2 linked regions of the Neodiprion lecontei genome follow. The protein of the gene in region 2 interacts with the protein of the main gene of each other region in a biochemical or structural test. Links are inferred from orthologs where the notes say so. Each region holds a gene or a part of one and is shown on either strand. Other genes may lie near its edges.

The links.
Region 1: the proteins of MLX-interacting protein (region 2) and max-like protein X form a complex in vitro, tested with the Homo sapiens proteins (2 studies listed by BioGRID, with this or other methods). The link is inferred for Neodiprion lecontei from reciprocal best matches to the Homo sapiens genes MLXIP and MLX.

What each region holds. Positions count from the first base shown.
Region 1 is NC_060262.1:29,695,705-29,701,439, reverse strand, and holds max-like protein X, read left to right. Parts: upstream 1-1,991; 5' UTR 1,992-2,265; coding exon 2,266-2,302; intron 2,303-2,400; exon of another isoform or gene 2,401-2,525; intron 2,526-2,692; coding exon 2,693-2,833; intron 2,834-2,982; coding exon 2,983-3,362; intron 3,363-3,575; coding exon 3,576-3,689; intron 3,690-3,973; coding exon 3,974-4,030; 3' UTR 4,031-5,015; downstream 5,016-5,735. UniProt on the Homo sapiens protein: Transcription regulator. Forms a sequence-specific DNA-binding protein complex with MAD1, MAD4, MNT, WBSCR14 and MLXIP which recognizes the core sequence 5'-CACGTG-3'. The TCFL4-MAD1, TCFL4-MAD4, TCFL4-WBSCR14 complexes are transcriptional repressors.
Region 2 is NC_060264.1:2,225,743-2,230,846, reverse strand, and holds the start of MLX-interacting protein, read left to right. Parts: upstream 1-2,005; 5' UTR 2,006-2,129; exon of another isoform or gene 2,130-2,430; intron 2,431-5,104. Other genes in the region: uncharacterized protein LOC107228024, read left to right, coding at 76-156. UniProt on the Homo sapiens protein: Binds DNA as a heterodimer with MLX and activates transcription. Binds to the canonical E box sequence 5'-CACGTG-3'. Plays a role in transcriptional activation of glycolytic target genes. Involved in glucose-responsive gene regulation.

The sequences.
Region 1 (5,735 bases), on a different chromosome or scaffold from region 2:
AATAATTATTAATAGTAAAGTAACTATCAAAATATATAATTTTTTATCAATGTCAAATGAGAAATAAAACGAAAAGGTGAAAAAAAAAACTAAATTTAAAAGTGATGAAATCTTATTACTATATGTGATGCTTTATCGATTTAAATCGCGGGAAAGTGACCTTTATTCAGACAAAATTGACGTAGGGCGGTTTTGGCTAGAAAATGTGTGAATTTTATTTAATGTTTTGTAAAAAAGATCTCAGAGACCAGTAATGAATAATTACCTCATCAAACAACGCTACGAGCTCAATAATTTATGGATTAAAATCAATTTATATATTGAAAATTTAATTATTTCACTTATTCACCTATTTTTCTTTCAACATTCAGACTAAACTTCCTGTGTTCTGTTTTACTCAAAGAGACTGGTGATTTTAGTTGAAAATTATCCTCATCATCAATTATATTATTTATATGTTATATAATAATTGAATTTTGAACACAACATTGACATCCCAATTCCGATTTTATTGCTATAATCCGAAATGATGAATATTAGCATAATTCTATTGCAGGTGAATATTTTTGTGATCTCAAGTTATACGTTAATATACGAATTACCATTCAATCAAACTTTATCTTACTTGTATGATATTTCAATATATCTGTATTGATATATTATTTGAACACATTAATGAATAGTTTGTTATTTTATTTTTGGTGTTTCCTCAATGCTGGCTTCTGAATCCATTAAAGTAGCACCGTATGAAAAAAAATCTATATACATGTATATAGGTATATATATATATAGTTTATATATATATATATATATATATACATGATAATATTGTACATACAAGTAGTGTGTTGAATGTATTTAAATTAAAGAATACAATAAATACACAATTAGCGTTAGAAGTTAGCAGGAATTTAGGTTGTGCTTACCAGAGAACACAGCAAAATGTTTTTCTTGAAATCAAGCGATTTCTCTTTTCATAAAAAGCTAACGAATTCATTTAAAAAAATCATTACCATATTTGTTAAACATGTAGAGTTGGATCACTATTGCTAATTGTCGTGGGTAAAGCAATAGCCGGCAAGCTCATTGACCAAAGTCATATTGACTAAGTAGAGAAGATATCAGAATTTTTAAATTCATTACTATTTGAGTGTATTACGCAACATTCGCCTGTGGAGGCAATTATAATTCCATCACATGAAAACACAATATCCCCACACGCAATACATATGTCACACAAGTTTACACCAAATTAAAAAAATTACTGTAAGAATAATATATAAATCGAATTTGAATTGAATAAAACTAAACGTGCTAGTTGCACAGCGAAACGAGAATGATAGCTGTGTTACTAAAAAAAAAAAAAAAAAAAAAGTTATAATTATATTATCATATATTTGTTTTATGTGTATTAAAGCGAATGTAAATATATATATTAGATACATCACATAATAAATAATAATTTAACGTAATGCTGTTTTTAATCTTTTGTACATAATCCTTAGTTACCCAACGCAGGTAATACTTTTTTTAATTTCGAAATGTATGAATCTTGAAATTGTTAAAAAAAATGTATCTTATAAAATTGTACCAAATTGATGTCCCTCGAAAATACCGTTCACGATTCGATTGATCCGGTGACGTCGATTTTATTACATATACTCCGTTTGAAATTATTTAAAAAATATTCATTTATCCATGATACGATCTGTTAGTTATTTCTCAAATTGTAGTGCAAACTTGGAAGCATTTTTAGATATATTACAAAATTTTTACCTTTTCTACGCTACGGAAAATTTATATCGCAAGGTTGCGAACCGAGTCCACGTTTGAATCTTGTACATCCTGCACTAGACAGGTCACAGGGTGGACGAAAATTTGTTTTGTCCTTTTCGTCTGCTACTCGAGCACGTGGTTATGTTTGACAGTTCGTATAGTGAACAGTTGAACACACTGTGGCGCATATTGCGTTTTCGCGTTTATTCCCGATGAAAGCTGTTTCGTCAAGATGGCGCGTCGAAACGGTAACAAGAAGTGGTCAGCAGCGTTATGAGTATTAAAAAGCTAAGTTACCGTGTTTTTCGAAAAGATATCACGTCAGATTGTTAAAAAATATTGTAAATTTATTAAGTACCACATGATTTACGCCGACTTCTATCAACGTTCGACAAATTTTCAATCTGAGGTTATCGCGCCCAACATATAGCCGACTTTGCTTCATCGTTGAGTTAAGTGCGTATATGCAATACTTATCTTATCAACACGATGGCCGATCTACCGTACAAAGACGGATACGAACCCCGTAAGTATTCGTACTTGATAGTTCTCCTTGTCTTTTTGTTGTGTATGTTCTCTTCTTTTTCTATTGCAGTAATCCTAATAATCAACACTCGTGTCAAGGCTATTGACTACAGATTAGGTATCTTATTGACGTATCATAACGGGGCAAACCTATTTAGAGACAGGGATAAACTCAGTTTATTCATTTCCACGGTCACGTGTACGCATACTAATCTCAAAATTTGGTAATTTGGTTATTTTCCAGTTTTCCTTTGACTGTTTTTCGATTTTCTGTTTCACAAATATATCATAGAACACACGTACACGATTCTCTTATATGATCCAGTGATTACTGTTAACATAGTTTTGTTTCTTCTGATATTCTAAATCTCGTGAATCTTTGTTGCTGTAGAAGGAATGGCGATGCACAGCGGAGCAGGATCGGATGGAGATATGAAATTGGAGCCGTCTAGTCCTACCGAAAGATATACCTTTTCCCGATGCAGTAGCACTGGTTCCATCAATACTCCTTCGTCATCTGCACATAACACTGGTAAAAGAACATATTAAATTATACTTCTGTAATTTTATTTAAGACCAATTACTCCTCCAGGGTAATATGTTTGTTGAATCACTATATGAAACTTTTCAAACATACATACCGGTGAGTTTCACTGTAGGATCTATTTTATTGTTTTTCAGAAGATGAAGACAGTGACAATAAAAATTCTACAATCAGTTACAAAGAGCGTCGCAGAGAAGCTCATACTCAGGCAGAACAGAAACGAAGAGATGCCATAAAAAAGGGTTACGACTCTCTTCAAGACTTAGTTCCCACCTGTCAGCACACAGATTCATCTGGCTACAAATTGTCTAAGGCGACAGTTCTTCAAAAATCAATTGACTATATACAGTTTCTCTTGCAACAAAAGAAGAAACAGGAGGAGGAACGTAATGCTCTCCGAAAAGAGGTCGTAGCTCTAAGGATAATGCAAGCCAATTACGAACAGATCGTCAAGGCTCACCAGACCCAGCCTGGTCATGCTGAGGCACGCGTATCGGACGAAGCTAAATTCCAAGTGGTAATTATGTCTGGTTTTAATTGGTACATTTCTATAGTCTGATGCAAATACGGCGTAAATAATTCTAACAATTCACACTTAAGTGGAGTATTAGTAGTATTTGGCCAGGGCAAGTAACTATTGAAAGTCATTTTTAGATTTAAGTTGAAAAATAATAATTTTCGATAAATAGCGGGCAATCTTTGAGCTCATCTCACATTATAATTTGTATAGTTTCAGGCAATTATGGACCGCTTGTTTCAAACTTTTAGCAACGTTTCAGTAGCTAATTTTGCCGAATTATCAGCCTGTGTATTCAGCTGGTTGGAGGAACATTGTAAACCGCAGGTAAGATCTACATGTGTGCTCTGATATTGAAACTGAGAAAATGAAGCAGAGGGTAACAATCGAGTATTCATACACTTTGTCATTGCGTTGAGAACTAGAACGCGTAATCCACCCTATCACAGCAACGCTAGATTCACATTAATACCTAAGTAATCTCGATTTTATGACGCAGAGTCATTTTTATTGTGCACGGCTTAATTTTTGAATAACCCAGAATAAGATCGAGAATTGTGCATAATATGAATAACGAAATAAGTAATTAATTAAGTAATATTTTTTTACAGACGCTTAGGGAAGTTGTGATATCCGTTTTACAGCAGTTCAACAACCCTATCAGCTAGTCAATGGTATAAAATAACTTTAGATTATGTTTATGCTTCCAATTGTTGATCAACGATCTTGAAGTACTATTGCAATTCAGAAAACAAGCCATTCCAATGAACTTCTGTGATTGCCAATGGAAGCCTATTGAAAATTACCTCTCAGTTACCAGAGAACATATAAATATAAATATATATACAGTTGTACCGTTCACTTGTTCGCTCTCGAGCAATGGAACAAACTTTGTGATTCTAGCTCGTGTGATAAGTACCTAATATAATTGATCACCATTGGATATCAGATTGTGAATAACTCCATAAACAACCTGCAATTACTATGCATATACATTGCTGTATTATATTGTCTTTTACTATATTGTACATAAAATGATATACATATATATTTTGCTTCAACGACGCGACTTAATTGATAATTTGACGTTTTTATTATTCGAAAAGAATTTACGTTGCTAAATATCAAGTTGGAAATCTGTTTGCTGTAAAAATCAGTATAAAAATTCGAATTTCTTGAGGATGATATTACGATTTTACTATTCTTATGGGAAAAAGTTTTGTGTATGCCACAGGTGTACAGGAGCATTATCTCTATTTGAATTTATGAATAAGTTTGCGCGCGCAAAGAAAAATCTGCGCGCATCGTTGATGTCGATCAACATTAAAATCCGTAAACAAAGTTCACGCCGAAAGTAGAAAATAGAGATGCATAGTCATCCAAAGAACGCAATTATTTTGTTTTTATTGTAAAGCAATTGCAAAGAATTTTAGTTGCCAATTAATAATAATTTAAATGTACAGTGATTTCAGGGCAGCGCATTTTACAGCGTTGTACGTTCATAGATAATTTTACACATTTTCAGAGGTTTTTCTTTTATTATTACAAACTATAAACCGTTATGTATGTACCCACGTTGTATACATGTTTATCTACATGGAATAGCTGTGCTATTCTTGGTTTCAATCAACAATAAAAATATTTACATTGAAATATAATGCTTCTGACGTTTATTACTCTCGGGTTATACGCAGATTTTTATTACAGAAACAGTCGATTTTACCCATCACGATATAACGTGTAAGTGGCCGTTTTCACCTCGAGTATCGCTCAAACGACATGATTAATTGATGCCCCATATACATTTGAGCCCCTACACTACCACCTTGTTACCATTCGCTACTGGTTCAAGTGTTGTGAGTTATGATTTTGCCATGAATGAATCATGAAACGCGTCACTCGCGATGTTTAGGTATTCCGCCCACGGCTGACCAAAACACCGTTTCTGCCACTGCGTTTCTGTTCTCATATCAAAGCCGCAAATGCATGTAGTTGTAATGAGGAATAAGTAATAACGACTTCAGTCGCCTTTCCCATAATCCAGTCACTGTGAAAAGTAAGATTTCATTATTTTGTTGACAGCAACTCAAGCATGTACTTTTAATTACACTAATTACACTTCTGAGTGCGAAATAATGGTTTTCTTAGATTTTTAACCGATTCGAATATTTATTTTATACAATTAAAAATTCAACTAATTTACAACGGGCCTTCTTTTTCTCACTTATATTTCTTTCGAGCTGAACAAAGACTGTGACGAATAACTAATAGTTGTCACATTCACACGTAAAAAAAATTGACTTTCATCCAACAAGGTTACATTTTTTTTTCGTCTACAGCTAGACACTGCACGCAACATGAATTTACAGTGCT
Region 2 (5,104 bases):
AGCGCTGCACAGCGAACCGTAGGAAAAAAAAGTTCATATCGCTCAAGCTTCACAACGATCTTATTTTATTCGCAGTTGGAGGAGGGAGAAATTGACGTAAGACTGAATTCCTTCAAGGGTTGCTTCATGCAGCGAAGTGGTCGACCCCGGAAATAACTTATGCATTATACGGCATAATTTTTCATCCGTCATCACGTATATGTATTCGAGATTCGATCACGCCAGGTAGTGTATCTATTAGTAATTGAATTCTTTTTAACGTTCGATAAATTTTTCTAATTATATCACGAATTTAAACTAGTATTTAGATTATACATACATACATGTATAAGTATATGTATATATAATTAATGGTAAACTGAAGTGAAATACTCGTGGCTTTAATATACTTATCTACACCGTCGCCTACGCTAGGTACGCGTTTGTGTGTATCCATAGTAAGAAAAAAAAATATAAATTTTGCGGTACTGAGCGCGATACTTTCTATATACAATTTTTAAATGCAGACGTGTAACGCACGTAAATATTGTAATCGCCTTTTAAAGTTTTACGTATATTTATTACGAAAGAATTGACACTATCTAGGTACTATTATAATAACTATGCTAATGCTATTTTCAATAATAAAAAATCATTTATATCCTGCAGTTACAAATGAAAGATCATATGATGTCATTATTAACTATCAAAAATGAACTCGGTTGATCGAGCTCAATTATCTAATTAATTTAATGCCACTCGTTTAGGTCTAACGAATTGTTTCCACATTTAAATCTCGCGCCTAATTTTGAATTTCATCACGGATGGCGTCACCGGTTGACTCTACCACCCCGCCATCTTCGCCTACTTGTTTAAACTATAATTTGTTTATTCTTCACTCAAAACTGATTGGCATTTTTTTCGCAGTTCGATAATCATACGGTTTGTTACGCAACAAAGAGACTCTAGAAAGCAGCCAAAAGGTTCTCAATCATGGACTAAACATATCAAGCTCATTGTGATAATTTTATAATGAAGGCCACGTTGAAACTACGACGAAAATTGGAATTCGTCGGTATGAATAAAGTCGAATTTTTTCGAATAACAGTCGGAAACAGGGACAGGTACAAAACAGATATTGCCCGTTGCATTTGACGGTTTCCTGCGAAGAAAATAGGAATTGGATTTCTTGAGAACAATACGGAATCACGTTGAAGTATCGATTGGAATGGAGCAAAGAACGAATACCGGAAATCAAAGGCCGCCCATCGCACGCAGGTAACAATTATTATCACTAGACAAAACAATGCGCAGCATTGAAACTAGTAGTCGATGATTGATTGCGTGATACAGGCGCAAGTATTGCTGTAATATTTCGCGTAGTAACTCCCTTGGTTCCTATTCTCACCGAAAGATTATATTCCAAAGTCCGCGGGCCTACATTGTTGCGCGGCAGAATTGATTCGTGTATCTTGTAACGTATGTCAAGCGGCGTTGCCAACCCATCAAACGAATATATCTATTTAGATGGCACCACAATAATTCGTTCAGGTAATTTAATGGCGCCATAATAAGTCGTGATATTTCTCATTTTCAAGAGTGATGTTTAACGGTATTGAAACATATTCAGAGATTTTTTTATCAGTATTGAAATTTCGTCAAAGATGTTCAGATTTTATTCACATTCCGGCCTCAACGGCAATATTTCTTAACGCGAAAACAACTTTTCTCTTTTCTTTGAACGGACTCAAATTTCTTTAGAAATCCTACTGAAATTTTTCTACGGTTGGCAAGGCCGATGAGATGCGGTATCTCGACAAGAATATTGGTACGCCTGACATCAATGTCGGCGAATTAATTAAGGCGAGAAAGAAGATCCCCTATGCATTAGCTGCTCATTGTCAGAGGTTGATTCAACCAGTCTCAGTAACGGCGGCAAACTCGGTCGGTAAGAAGGGGCCGCGGTTGGTCGAGGGCAGATTTTCCGTGGATGGCGCTGCGGTCGCAATTAGTTTCACAGCGGTCGTCGCAGTTCGACGGCGCTGCTACGGGAGCCAGATCTCAATGGTCGGTTGGTCGTGGTCATCAGCTGTGAAACGTAACAACAACGGAACGCGACGAGGAACGCACGAACGAACGGACGGACGGAGGTGCGTACATACGTACGACGTTTTACGGTACGATAGTGCGTTAGATTGACGCGTAAATGGCGGTGCTACCAGAATGAGGTACTTCGTCCTCGTGCCGCGTAGTAAAGTTGTAATGGGTCTCGTCGCCGAGGGATCGTGCCCTTCGACCCGGTGTTACCGCAACAAATGACACGAGTCATAGTTCAGAGGTTACTAAATCCTCGGTGTGAAACGACGACAACAACAGCGACACCAACAACAGTAACAACGAGAAGGAGGAAGGAACTCTGACTCTTACGCGCGTACAAGGTTGTGCATAGAGGTACGGGATCGCAGCACTGCATACGCACACACACGCACACACACACACACACACACACACACACGCATCCGCGAGCTAATGGTGCGGAAATAGTGTTGCCCGTGTGCTCGAGAACGATATTAAAGCGCGAAAAATAGCCCCGTTGCAACAACAATAATAATCATAATAACGATCAGCGCAACAACGGTGCGTAAACACGAGTGGAAGTCGGGTGAAGAGCGCGTTCGGGGCGACAATCGTGGAAAAAAGATCTCGAGGCCGGGGGGGGGCTCGAAAAGGGATTATAATTCTTCTGGACGATAATATTCACTCCCGAATTTTTGAAGATCAAAAAGAAGAGTTTTCTAATCCCTGATAATTTACACGCGAGTCGACGCGCCACCCGTATTGCATTGCCCGTGGTGGTCAGATTCGAGGCTTGAGAAACCGTAGACTTGGCAATGCTTGTAAAATTCACGTTGCTACCAGCAGGACGGTTCGCGTAAAATATTTATATCACCGTTTTTCCATACTCTCTTTCTCCTTCGCCTCGATTAGAAAGACCGTGAGCGCGAATATTATTCGTTGCTCTGCAAGTACTGTAACGCGTTGTCGAGTATGTCTCTATGTTGGTGAAAACCGAGAAGCATTTCGCTCGCGTTTCTGAACCTAGATTCGCCACGTTGCCCCGAACGATTGAGATTGGGAAAGTAAGTCGCTAAAGTTTACTCCCTGACCTGGCGGTAGGTGTTGAAATCCCGGTTCGTCGGGCGAAGGACGGGCGGGGATTTAATTCTCCGCATTGGACGGACGGCCCCGCCGTTTACGTTACACTTACATGCAAATAATAACTACGTCGTTTACAACCTCCGGGTCCCGCGTATGATCCTCTTTGCATCGCGGAAAGAAGGGATAAGCAAATAAGGGAACCTTATTGGTGTTTTACAAACGCTATCTATCCGTCGCGATTTGCCGACGGCGGAAAACTCGGTTTTATTCCACACGCGGACCAAAGGTATTATTTTTCAAGTTTTCTACCCCCCGCCGTTGAGGGGAAAGAGAGAAGGAAGTTTTTTTTTTTATACAAAGTATGCAAGGACGCACAGTTTTTTTAAAAGCTATGTATACTTGCAATTTCGTACGAAAAACTGCGAAATCCTGTGCCGTCGGTAAGGAGGACTTCTACTATTTTGTTTCCCTCTTAAAGTACGTATATTGCGATAGGTCTTTGATTCGCGCGGAGCTTTTTCGTCGACTCTCGCCCCCTTATGCGCGTTATTTTTGGACCGACGGTGGTCGTAACGACGTTTTCACTACTTTACCACACTCTCTTTAACGGCCGTTAAAGGTACGAGGAAGCTAACGCGAAACCGCGTTAAATTTAAGTTTACACACACGTGTCGTGTATTTATAGTCTTGTTTTATGTATGCAAGAGTACAAATTTGTCGTCGTGCGTTCCGCGGCGGGGTGGAAAATTGTTGAAATACAGGGTGTCGGAAGGGGGGGGGGGGGGGGGGGGATTGATGGGTGATAAAATAACGCACGATATGCGTGCCGCGAAAAATCTTGCGCGTCTATCAGGTTTTTTTTAAATAAAAAATAAATTATTCTCCTTCGTTCAAACAGGTTCAAAAGTTCCATTTAGATATAAATAATACGCCTGTTACAGCTTTAGCTCGAAATATTAATATCATTCAAGAGGTTTCGCATCGAACTTTTCTAGTTTCCATAACAATGAATACGGAAAAAAATATTTGCTCTTTCTGATTTTTATAACTAGATAAAAATGCGTCGTACAAAAAATTCGCAGACGTATTTTGGTGGGGAATTGAACGATCTTCAAAAAAGGTCTCTTATTATTTTCTGATAAATTCACTCGTTCAAAAGTTATTAGAGGATGTTGATAAAAAAATCTTACTTGAAAGAGTAGATTTATCGTAAAACGATAAGAGAGACTTTCTTTGAAGAACGTTCAACTCTGTACAAAAGTGTGTCTGTGAATTTTTTCGTTAGGACCGATCGTTAGCTAGTTATAAAAATTACAAAGCGCGAAAACCATTTTTTCCATATTATTTTCGTGGGAAATAGAAAAGTCCGATGTGTAACCACCGGCGCTGCTCTCTCGTGTTATTATGTTTCAGAAATGATAATATGACTTTGTAGATCGTTCGTTCCTTTTCAGACTCTTGAACGGCGAAAGAACTCGCTGTTTGCCTTGTAAAAATTGTTATCTTGTCTTTCTCTCTCTCTCTCTCTCTTTCTTTCTCTTTTCCTCTCTTTTTATTTCTCTTCCGTTATTCACTCTTCTTTGTTATCGTCTTGCTGGCTAATTCACTTGAAAATATAATTCATGCAGACTCTTTTTTTTTCAAAAATGTAATTGTTGTTGTTCGCAAATTTAATGTTACAACGAAGCATTTTTAGGTTACGTTGTTACTTCGAATTTTTTAATACAGCAATTATACGACTCGCGTATTTTGCCAATCCAATTCCGTAAAAATCCAATTGCCGTGTTCGGGCTAGCAAATCGTTTTCACTTTGAGATTTTTTTTAACGGGATTGAAGTCAGTAACTTTATCGTAACGAAACATTGCGGAAGAAAATCACTATTAATATTTATTACGGCTTACCGAATTTCAAACAATTCCATCAAAATTGCAAAGTAACAATTTTTCCTCGGCATGAATCGTCGTT